Tamandua tetradactyla: one gene and its partners. The protein of the gene in region 2 purifies or fractionates together with the protein of the main gene of each other region. This does not show direct contact. Links are inferred from orthologs where the notes say so. Each region holds a gene or a part of one and is shown on either strand. Other genes may lie near its edges. The genes, in order: AKAP9, PRKAR2A and AKAP8.

Evidence for each region.
Region 1: the proteins of PRKAR2A (region 2) and AKAP9 purify together in Homo sapiens (affinity purification with western blotting; 3 studies listed by BioGRID, with this or other methods). This does not show direct contact. The link is inferred for Tamandua tetradactyla from reciprocal best matches to the Homo sapiens genes PRKAR2A and AKAP9.
Region 3: the proteins of PRKAR2A (region 2) and AKAP8 purify together in Homo sapiens (affinity purification with western blotting; 3 studies listed by BioGRID and IntAct, with this or other methods). This does not show direct contact. The link is inferred for Tamandua tetradactyla from reciprocal best matches to the Homo sapiens genes PRKAR2A and AKAP8.

The regions. Positions count from the first base shown.
Region 1 is NC_135327.1:124,514,541-124,518,285, forward strand, and holds the start of AKAP9 (A-kinase anchor protein 9), read right to left. Parts: upstream 2,217-3,745; 5' UTR 1,901-2,216; coding exon 1,853-1,900; intron 1-1,852. UniProt on the Homo sapiens protein: Scaffolding protein that assembles several protein kinases and phosphatases on the centrosome and Golgi apparatus. Required to maintain the integrity of the Golgi apparatus. Required for microtubule nucleation at the cis-side of the Golgi apparatus.
Region 2 is NC_135341.1:37,420,762-37,424,506, reverse strand, and holds the start of PRKAR2A (cAMP-dependent protein kinase type II-alpha regulatory subunit), read right to left. Parts: upstream 2,228-3,745; 5' UTR 2,004-2,227; coding exon 1,754-2,003; intron 1-1,753. UniProt on the Homo sapiens protein: Regulatory subunit of the cAMP-dependent protein kinases involved in cAMP signaling in cells. Type II regulatory chains mediate membrane association by binding to anchoring proteins, including the MAP2 kinase.
Region 3 is NC_135337.1:94,123,029-94,126,773, reverse strand, and holds the start of AKAP8 (A-kinase anchor protein 8), read left to right. Parts: upstream 1-1,302; 5' UTR 1,303-1,419; coding exon 1,420-1,438; intron 1,439-3,159; coding exon 3,160-3,198; intron 3,199-3,745. Other genes in the region: AKAP8L (A-kinase anchor protein 8-like), read left to right, coding at 537-632, 711-983. UniProt on the Homo sapiens protein: Anchoring protein that mediates the subcellular compartmentation of cAMP-dependent protein kinase (PKA type II).

The DNA of each region.
Region 1 (3,745 bases), on a different chromosome or scaffold from region 2:
TATAATATGCCATCCCATTTAAATAATTTAGACAATGATTCTTCTAATGTCGTCTTTGAAGGTTGTTTCTAGTGTTTTTATATTACACAGCTAATTCTGCAGCAGATATATCTTGCTTTATATGCCGCACACTTTCATTTCTCAATGGAAATACTGGGCTCAACTCCAGAGGATAATCTACAATAAAAGTTAAAGTTAAAAGAAAAAGATTTTTTACCCTAATCGGTAGAATTTTAAAACACCAAAAAAACCACATTCACACAAAGAAATAGAATTCTATTTTGCCAAATCAAATGATGTGGCAAGCAATTTAAATAAATCCCCTAATTATTATGGGTTATTATGTCCAAAGTGAATTTATGCCGAAGTAAACTGTATTTTGTAGGACTGTTTCACATACAGTTAGAAAAGATACTTCTGGAGCAGACAGTAAAAATTCTGAGGTAATAGACAAGATATAAACTGTCTACTTAGAGACTTTTGGAAGAGGGTGCACACTTTACCTCCACTTCCTTGGCTGCATAGAGCTTGCTCAGACCCTCGGGGCTGCACAAAATGTAAGCAACTGACTTTGGGCTTCTTAAAATAGCCTCATTTTCCTTTCCCCCATTTATGGACTTTAAAGCAATAATTTACCTGGGTACATACAAGCACCTAAGCCTTGACTTCTGAAGTGGAATTTTATGGAATATGAAACTAGTGTACATATATATTCATTTAACAATCTTGGGCTAACCATCTACTGCTGCATCTCTGCAATACGGCCCTTTGTTGATTACCAAATTATTGACCCAGTTTCCTTTGTCTATTTATATGGGAGGAGAGCAGGGAGGAAGGAAAAACAGCTATAATTTAATTATGAATCAAGTATGATTGCTAACAATTACCTCTGATATGATAATTGGAATCTAACCTATAAAAGGTAACTTCATTGTAGAACGTCTTTAAGGCCAAGAGATAATCTCAAACGTTAACATTTTAAAAGAAACATGCTACTTAATTTATATGTTGTCTATGCCAATTTTTCGTCAAATTCTCAATTGAGAGATACCTGTGTATAACTGTGTATTGTGTACTTTACAGGCTTTTTCATACATATACACACATAAAATCAGGAGTCACCCGATACACACACACACATATATATTCATACACAATCAACCATTAGGTAGTATTTGAAGCAGGGATTCTATAGGTGTTGCTTAAAATACGGAACCTGTCGTTCCCAGAACTCCAATCACGGAATGCATTAACATTCCACACAATACAAAAGCGCATGCCATGACAAAGACCTCCAAACACAAACATACAAAGCACGCTTAAAAAACGCCTCTAAAGGAACTTCACAGCTGGCACGTGTGGCACACTCAAGTCACTGCTGTGGCAGCTGACAGAGGCCAATCACACACACCCAAGAGTGCCAGCGTGCCACCTAAGGAAGTCAAGCTGATGATCAGCGCACAAATCCCCCATCAAATAAAGAAAAGCTCCAAATCCCCACCCTGGAAAACAATGCCTGCGCCACCCAGAAAACTCCTTTAAAAAAAAGTGAAAGACTGGAGATCAAGGACTAATAAATATCAGCTTATAGCAGCACTACAGTAATAGAAGGGTTTCATTTGGGCAATAAAAAGAAAAGGGCCATACGATCCAGTCATCGCGGAAGTTTCATTTGCTAGAAGCTTTTCTCACTATTGGAAAGACGGTGGCGAGGGGGAAATAAAGACGTCTGTAAGAACCTCCCTTCAAGGTAGCGCACTAGAGCTACCACGATCTCCGTTTCCGTGGCCCCCTCCCACCCTCCCCAGCCGCCGCCTCCCACAGCCGGCCAGGCTGCCTCCGGCTTTCCTACCTTAGCTTTGCCGGCCTCCAGCTTCTTCTGTCTCTCTTCGTCCTCCATGGCCTCTGCAGGGCAGGGTGGGGGAAGACAGGGAGGGGATTGGAGGTAGAAAGAAAAGGTCGGTTCAGACGTAGTGGGACGGCAAGCTCCAGGGCCCAGAGAGCAGGGCCGAGCCCGGCTTCCAGCGCCCGCAGTCGAACCAGCTGCCTCGCTCACTGGCTGGTCGTCCTCGGCCGCACAGGGAACGCCGCCACCGCCGCCATCTTCGTCTCCACGTAAACACAAGGCCGAACGCGGGTTGGCTGGGGGGAGGGGCAGGGGAGCGGGATGCGGACGTCTGTTCGCGCAGCCGCCGCGAGTCCCGCTGGGCTCGGCAGGTGCGCCCGCAGCCCCTCCCCACCGCGCGCGGGACCTCGGGAGCGACCCTTGTCCACGCAGTTCTCAGCTTTCGAGTCTAAGAACCAAGGGAGTGGGTGCTCCTCTAGCCTTGGCCGGTTCTTGTCCTTCCTCCGGGATGCGCAGCTTCCAGGTGGGGGCGGACTAGGGGTCGGGTAGGAAGGGCGATAGGGCAGGGGGCATCCGGTCGGACCCCCACTCACTGTTCTAGGAATTCTGTGGTCGCTTTTAAAACATTTTTTTTAATTACAAAAATAAAGATGTCTAATGGTGAGATTAGAGAGCACTGAAAAGCCCAAAAGGAAAAAGTGGGGGGTCAGGGGGAGTCAGTTTCTCAACCTGCACTGACTCTATTCCAGGAGTTAGGAGAGCAGCTGCTTGTTCTCATTACTTCCTTATCCTGAAAGCCCCTCCTTCCCCATACTGTTACCCGCCCAAGCCCCTATTCGTCCTTCAAGGCCCACCTGAGGTGTCGCCTCCAAGTAGCTTTATTGATGTCTATTATTCCCTCCACCTCAATGGAGATGTTTCCAGTCATGGCTTATTCCTCTATGTCCCCTAACTCTATTCCCTCCCTCCTTGGAGCTTCCCCTTAGCGATGGTGTTCAGAAAAGGGCATAAGCTTCAGACCCAGGGGTGGAGACAAAGCCATTATGCACTTTCTAGTTTTAATGATCTTGCAACAAGGTACCAATCCTCCCAGAGCTCCAGTTTGTTCACCTAGAATTTTTGGAAATGTTGTTAGGATTAAACGAATTAATATATGTGACTGTCCCTGGCACATTAAAACTAACACAACTGGGAAATCATCGACCTACCCAGGCGATTAAATCCATCTCGACTCCTGTTGGAGACCAGGCGAAACCATAGCAGAGAAGACTCAAAAAATTATGAAAATCATTCCTGGGGCAGCCGTGTGTGTAGAAAGTGAAATCAGGGAAGATGTAACTATAGGACCTAGGACGGTGATCCACCCTAAAGCACGAATTTTTGCAGAGCCAGGCCAATAGTAATTGGTGAAGGGAACATAATAGAAGGACAGGCCCTTATTATAAATGCTCACCCTTATAATATCACCCCTCTTGCTGGAGATTTCAGAATCCAATCCTCTGGCCATTGGTACAATAATGTGTTTGAAGTTGGCTGTTATTCCCAAGTCATGAAAATGAGAGATAATAATGCTGAGTCAAAAGCATATGTAGGCAGAAGTGTAGTATAAATGAGTGCATCATTGGGGCTTGTTGCAAACAATACTCTTGAAGTCATCCTTGAGAATACAGTAATCTGTGGTGCAGACTGCTTTCCTGTGGTGTAGACTGAGCTACCGCAGCCCCAGACGCTACAGCTGGATTTCCTGATTAAAATCTTGTCAAGGTACCATCACATAAAGAAGACCATGAAAGGAAGTTCAACTAACAACAACATATGATATCAAAATAACATTTCATCTTTGACTACAGTCTTTTGCAAGGGCCACAGTATTTAAAATGCAGTCTTATCAACTCACAG
Region 2 (3,745 bases):
ACCACATATCCTATTTTTAATATCGGGTAGTCTGAGTTTATTATTCTAATGTTGCCAATGGATATGCAATGTATTTTTAATAGTAGTTCATCTTGTGTTGATTTCTATTGCTATAGCAGGGTAACCACTTAGGAGGAAAAAACAAAAATAAATACCAATAAATTAGAACACAGTTACAAAGATTTTAAATCAACTCAATTTTGAAAAAGACACAAAAGATGACAAAGAATGAAGACGTGATACAAAAATCTTGAAACTGTTTTATTCATCAGGGATAATTTCTAAAATACTCCTCTAAACTGTTTTGTACAAATAAAATCTGGCAAAAAGGGTTACAGCTTTGTGATTAATAGAGAATAACAGTAGGGGAAAGAAACACAAAAACTGAGAAGTCACACCTGAGATACAGCTGTTTAAAAACACATTTATCCCTGGGAGATTGCCGTCCTGGTTCCCCGTTTAAAGATAAGTAAAATCTGAAGTAAAAACAGGTTTAACAACTTGTCTAAGACCACAAAAGCAAACCTGTGGCAGAAATTTGGCAAACAACAATTTCTGATTATCAGGTTTATGATTAAAAATCCATAACAGACTACGCAATAAGTGGAGGAAAACAGAGAAGAGCAATTCCACTCTTTCAGCATGAATAAACTGTGGTCCTGCACACAGAAGCTTAGAATCTCCCAAAGGAATGACCATTAATTAACTCCTAGCTAGCAGTAGCTGGAAAGTAAGACCAGGACAGAGTCAACTACGTAGTAGTTTTTTCAGTGTGATCTAATAATACTAAGTCTCTAACACTGCCTCTCAAATGTTTTCATACTTTCGTTAAATTTTGGCTGTGTAAAAGTAAAATGTTAAAACAACATTTATTGTTATATTGATAAAGCCTATGCTGAAACAACCAAGGAAAGTGGAATTGCTTCTTGACATTCTTGCTTAAAACATATGAAGAAAATGTTACTTTTCTTCTTTTCTGCAATCCACACACTAAACAAGATTCATACTGTTCACCTTCACCAAATTTGATTCAATTGTTTAAGCCAAATTTAAAATAAATAATAAAGGAGATTACCAGGATCCATATTTTAAGAAATACATATTCAACTACACAGGAGTGAAATGATCTGTCTGGGATTTGCTTTAAAACATTTCAGCAAAAGGAAAAAGGTATGGGTGAAACATTTGCGGCAAATACAATTGTTGAACGTGTGAGAGGTTCTCTTTTCTCTCTACTTTTGTCTATGTTGAAATATTTCATAACTCTTTAAAAAATGAATTAATACCAAAGTTACCGTCCTGAAAATTAAGTACGAGTCACTGAGTGTTAATACTCTTGTCTTCAGAACGAAACGAGGCAAAGGGCCTCAAAGAAAGGGCGAGGATCCTTCCACGAGGCCGACGTAGGCTCGGAACCTCAACGCCCCCAACCCCAGCTCCACGCGACCACCCAGACCGAAAGCGCGCACGTTTCGCTCGTGGCTGATTCTGGCAAATCATTCCGTGCGCTCTACGAATGGGAGAACAGCTGATTTGGAAGTGGCGCACGCGGGAATCACGCTGGAGGCTCCGGGAAATCCGAGAAACTCCGCTCGAGAACGCCCAGGTACCAGTCCAGGGCTATCGGCTCGGTCCCCGGCGCGACACACGGCCCCATGGCCCCCGGACCTCTAGCGACCCCGGACCAGTCTCCTCAGCCCCTCCACCGAGAACCCCCAGCCTCCAGTGAACCTCGGCCCCGCCCGCTGCCTACCGTCAAACTCCTCGTCGTCCTCAGTGTCGGCGTCCGCGGTGGCGTCGGCGACGGGGCAGGGCTCTTGCTCGTGGGGGCCGAGAGGAGGGGCGGTGGCGAGCGGCACAGAGGTCAAGGCGCGGGCCTCGCGCAGGCGGGTGAAATAGTCTACCGCGAAGTCGATAAGATCGGGCGGTTGCTGCCGTAGCACCTCCACCGTGTAGCCCTGCAGTAGCTCCGTGAGCCCTGGCGGGATCTGAATGTGGCTCATGCTGACCGCGGCGCGGAGACTGGCGGATACGGGCCGCCAGCGGCCACAGCCTCCCGTACTCCCTCCCGCCGGCCCCTAGCTCTGTTACGCGCGGCCCCAATCCGGCTTTCCTCACACAGCACTTAGGCCGGGTCTGCGTTTCCGGGCCGCCCGACCCTGCGTTACTTCGGCCGGCTGGCGCCGCCGCCGCTGTCACTGTACCGCCGCGGCTGCCGCGGGGACCGACGGGCGGGCGGGACGGGCAGGGCAGGCGCCCGGGTTGTGACGCAGGCGGCTGCGGGCGTGCGCGCCCCCGCCGAGCGCCAGCCCGCAGTGCGCGTGCGCCGCCCCCCTACTGAGCCGTCGGGGGGTCGCTGCGGGGGAAGGGCTCCGAGTGCGTCCTCACGGCGCGCGACCCTCGAATGAAGAAATGAATGGCCAACCGGCGAATCAGCTTCTGGTTAACGCCTCTCATCTGGTCGTAAGAGCTCGCATTTATTCTTTTTGTACACGCTGAGCGCCTTGTTTCCCGACACTTACTGGGAGCTAGGGATACAGCCAAGAGCCAAATGGTGACACACACAACCACCTCAGTGTGATTTCGGCTTTGGTGGAGAAGAAGGCCCTCATTAGGGGGTGACATTCAAGTTGACCCTGAGGCCTGGTAGGATCTGGTCAGAGGAAGACCTGGAGGAAAGCCATCTGAGTATAGAGGATAGACAGAGCAAAGGCCTGGCCAAGTCTGGACTATTTTGGCCACAGGAAGGAATGGTGAAATGACCATAGGACATTCGGGAAGCTAGCAGGAGGTCTGTGAGATGTCAGCTGGGGAAGGCTGTGTGTGTGGTGGTGGTGGTGGTGGTGATAGTGTTAGTAGTAGTAGTTTTCAGTGAGAGAGTAATTTTGGAGCCATAGGCAGAGAAATAAACCTGGAAGAGTTTATCTGACCAAACATGTAAAGACGAAAAGGAGAATAAGGCCCAGAGCAGAAGGAACCTCCATGGCTCTGTGCCTGCTCCTCTCCTTGAGTACTCCTACCAGGTTCTCAGATCTAGGTCTGCATGCACCTTCCCTTCCCATCCTGGGCCCTGGGCCAGCACTTCTTGATGGAGCTGAGCAGAATGTAAGGCACTGCTACCCTTGGCCCCTGGGGAGTGTGTATAGGCAAACCGGAGAATCCAGGCTATTTCTCAAAATGCATATCCCCCACCCCAGCCAAACTGGGAATAGAAAAAGATGGAGGCCTAGATGCTGACCAGAGGCCCAGATGGTATAGGACAGAGTCTTCCCTCTCCTTGATGGGCTTAGCCAGAAGTGACTAGCTGTAGGCTTGGGAAGCTGAAGGACGTTCAGGATGGTTAAGCGCCACCTGGTAATTACCCCTTATTAATTAAAACACGCACTAGCACCTCTCTTACTGGCTTGGCGCACACCCAGGAGCTGAATGCTACTGGGAACTAAGATTCTAGCAGCAGGAACACAATATCCCAACTGATGCAGAGATTTCTAGGCCAAGCAGGCTTGTGATTCCAAACAATGTCTTCCTAGATAAGTTCCTTGACCCCTGAGAGGGGTCTTGGACCATTAATTTTGTGAGGGAAGAGGTAGTGTCTGACTTGTTCCCTACTGAGTCCTCATTGCACATTTTGGAGTTTTCCTGAATAAACTGAATGATAAATTTCTATGCAGTAAGCAGAACCACTGAAACTGCTGTATTGACCTCTCATTCTCAGAACTGGGATCCTATAATGCAAAGCTGTGCT
Region 3 (3,745 bases), on a different chromosome or scaffold from region 2:
GGGGGAGGAATTACTGAGACAGATAACTTTTGATACATTCTATCAAACTGCATCTCAGCCTGCCTTTGTCTTCAACCTTCTGTTACTTCTGTTCAACTTTGCAGTGCTCCATCATTTTGATAAGTGGTTTGGCATTTGTATCCCTGCTTTTCTATCTTTCCTGTTGATCTAAGATCTTTAAGATCCAAAGAACTTAGCACTTTGTCATTATTGCACATGGTTTTCAGTAGGTTTCTTAATTTGTCCCGTACTTACAGCTTAGGTAAGCAAATCAATCTCTGCAGTTCAGCTACAAACATATAATGCCATTCCAGTGTGGTTTAGCAAGATGGGGCATTTCAGCAGAGGTAGGATCCGGTGGTGGTTCCCTGCTTGTGAGAGTCGCCCTGTGCCTGCACCAAGGGACCCACCCTTCTCCCTCTTTGGGCCCTTTTCCTCTCCTTTGTGGAGTAGTGGGGCAGGACTGAGCCCGGGGGCTGGGTGCCAGGGCGCAGGGGCTGCAGGCAGCCTCCCCAGCCGCCTTGCTCTGCCCCCAGCTCATGATGGAGCAGTCCAAGAAGGCTTCGCTCATGGTGGCCCGCAGCATCCTCAACAACAAGCTGATCAGCAAGAAGCTGGAGCGCTACCTGAGGGTGAGGCGGACGGGCGGACGGGCGGGTGGGGTATGCGGGGCGCGGGGTCTGCCCACCTCACCACCCCCGTCCCTGCAGGGCGAGAACCCCTTCACTGACGGCCCCGAGGAGGAGCGCGAGCAGGAGGAGGCCGAGGGTGGTGCCACGGACGAGCCAGCGGAGGGGGCGCCGGCGCAGCCCCCCGTGCCTCCCGAGCCGGCCCCCGAGGCCGCGCCGCCGCCGCCCCCCGAGGAGGAGGAGGAGGAGGCCGTGCCCCTGCTGGGCGGCGCGCTGCAGCGCCGGGTGCGCGGCATCCCGGGCCTCGACGTGGAGGCCGACGACGAGGAGGAGGGCGGCGGGGGCGCCCCGTGAGTGGGCCCGGACGGGCGGACGAGGCCGAAGCCGCCCCAATAAAGTTCTTGCAGCCGCCGCCGCTACTTCCGTGTTGCCGTGTGTCTGTCCGTGCGCCACGGGGCCGGGAGGGAGGAAGTGGGGCGGAGATTACCTGGCGGGCTCGTGGGGGCGGGGGAGCAAGCGGGCGGGGTAGGGCAGTGCGCCTGCGCGCCAGGCTCGGCTGGAGAACGCGGCCCCAGTACCGCCCTTGGCTATTATTGGCGCAAACCCCGACTAACCGGTGGCCAGATTGGGACCTTGCGGGGCGGGCCCATGGCGCAAGAAGCCAATGGGGCAGCATGGGTGGGGTGACGTTGCTCCTGCGCCCCCAGTAGCTGGCGGCGTGACGAGTGCTGAGCGCCTGCGTGCTGGAGCAGCGAAGAAAAAGGAGCTGCCAGCGGGCTGAGGCGAAGACATGGAGCAGGGTTACGGAGGTAGGGTCTCAAGGTGCTGCGGTGGGGAGCGGGCGGCCTACGGCCGGATGCTGCTGCCGTCGCCGCGGAAAGAACTGCGGCCCGGGGCCAAGCCCTTGAGAGCGTTACCGCCGCCCAAGGCCAGAGGCCGCCGAGAGGCAGCCGGGGCGCGCGCGGCGCCCATTGGGCCGCGCCGCCGTCGCTCCTGGCAAGCTCGGTGCGGATTGGCCGGTGCGGCGGGGTCGGCCTAGGCAGTGGGGACGCTCCCCTTAGCGTCCCCGCCGGCCCTTTCTCGGTCGACCCCGGCGCCCGCGGTTCCGCTTTAGCTTGAGACGCCACAAGATGGCGGCGCGGGGGCGGGGCCTCGGCGGCCTGCCAGGCGGGGGGAGGGGCCGGGGTCGCGGTCATGGGGCAAGGGGGGGGTTGGTTGGTTGGCGGTCTGGACCCCGGGCGGCGCGTGTGGCCCGGAGCGCTCTGGTCAGGGCGGGGGAGGGCGGCCTGTGCGGGGCCGGGCAGCCTGAAGTGTGGGAGCGTGGCGGGATCCCGGCCGCAGGAATCGCAGCAGCCACGGGGCCCTCCTGGCGTGGCGCTGGGTCTGTCCGTTCGTTGCCTTTTCCCGGAGCCAGAGACCCCGCCAACCTGTCTCAGTTTGGAGAAATGTTTCCCTTTCGCCGAATTTTTTTAGCCTAAGTTCACTTAGCTGTTGCTGGCTTCTTGAATATTTTTGTGAGTTTCCCGCTCAAAACTCTGCCTGTCCCAGGACCGTTGGGCCTGGAGCAGGGGCGCCCTTACCGTGGGGACCACCCGGAGCTGGGTTCCAGTCCCAGCTTTTCTCCAGCTTGGGGATGAGCCTCAGTCCCTTGACACAGTGGGGCCAGGAGCAGAGTCCCACCCTCTGCTTCCTGGGGGCCCTGTTGTTCCGCAGTTGGTCACGTGTGCAGCTGTAGGCTCCTGCGCCTTCCTCGTGCCCAGATGTGGAAGCTGGGACCTTGGGTCACGGCTCTAACCTCTGAGTCTTAGCTGCTGGTCTCTGGATACTGCTAGGTGATGCCACCTGAGGTTAGAGTGCCTGTCACGTGGCGCATCGTAGGCCCTCTATTAGTCTGGAGCTCATTCTAGGAAGGGACATGCGGATCCATTCTTGATTTGTAAGAAGGAAGCAGGAGGCAGGCGTGGGTGCTGCGTTCCAGGGAGGGAGAAGTGAAGAGGGCACAGTTCTCACTCTCTTGCTTGGTGGCAGCCAGGTGTTGTGGGGGGAGGGTCCGCAGCAGCGAGGGGAGTCCTCAGAAGAGGGGCAGCCAGATGGGGTGGCACCTGGCTGAGTTCCGGATCCCTGAAGGCCCTGGGATGTGCTGTCAGGCTCGGAGGCCGGTTGCAGCCTCATGTTCCCAGAGCTTGTGTGTTTGTGGCCTGATGTTGGGTTCTGGCCTTGGCCTCTGGTCCTCAGGTGTGAGTTGTTGAGGTGGAGGTGTGCGGTCCTTGGCCGAGGCCCAAGCAGGAGAGGGGCAGAGCTGACTTCATAACCTGTCAGCCCCCCTTGTTTTTCCTGCTTTGGCTTCGGGCAGCTGGAGTGATGATGAAATCAGCCAGTATCCGGTGTCTCTTAGGATGGAATCCATTGCCTGCTTATAAGGCTGCAGTGGAACTCTGGTGAAGAGACTTTATGTTCCTCAGACCTCACAAAGCACCCGGTCTCCCAAGTGACAAATTGGACACTAACTCACTGTGTCTTCCATTTGCAGGCTATGGGGCATGGAGTGCTGGGCCTGCCAACACCCAGGGTGAGTGGTTCTGTCTCAGGGAGCAGTGTATGAGCCTGTCCCCAAGCTTCCCTCCCACCCGGAGGCCCTGGTGGGGCAGAGCCAGACCTGGCACTGCCCCAGGGGTGGTAGGTTTTATCCTGGGGAGGCTGCAGGGCCAGGCGCTTGGCTGTCTTATGGTCTCCGTGGTCTGAAAGCAGCTGTAGTTATGTAAACAGATGCACGTGGCTGGGTTCCAGTCTCACTCAGTTAAAGATGCTGAGATTTAAACATCATTTAATTTTCATGGGTTGTTTTTTTTTTTTTTGGTGGCAGTTTGTTATTGTGTTCTAAGTAAATAACTAAAGGTATAATAAAAGCTTTTGATAATAATAGGCTTTAGTTTTGGTTTAAAGATTACAAGACTGAACAGGTAGTGCACAGAACCTGATATACATTTCACCCTCATTTCAACTGTTTTAACGTTTTACATTCTCGTGGTCTGTTACAGTTGATGAGCTGATATTAGCACATTGTCATTAACTAGAAAGTCCATGGCTTCTGCTCAGGGTTTGCACTTTGTATTACA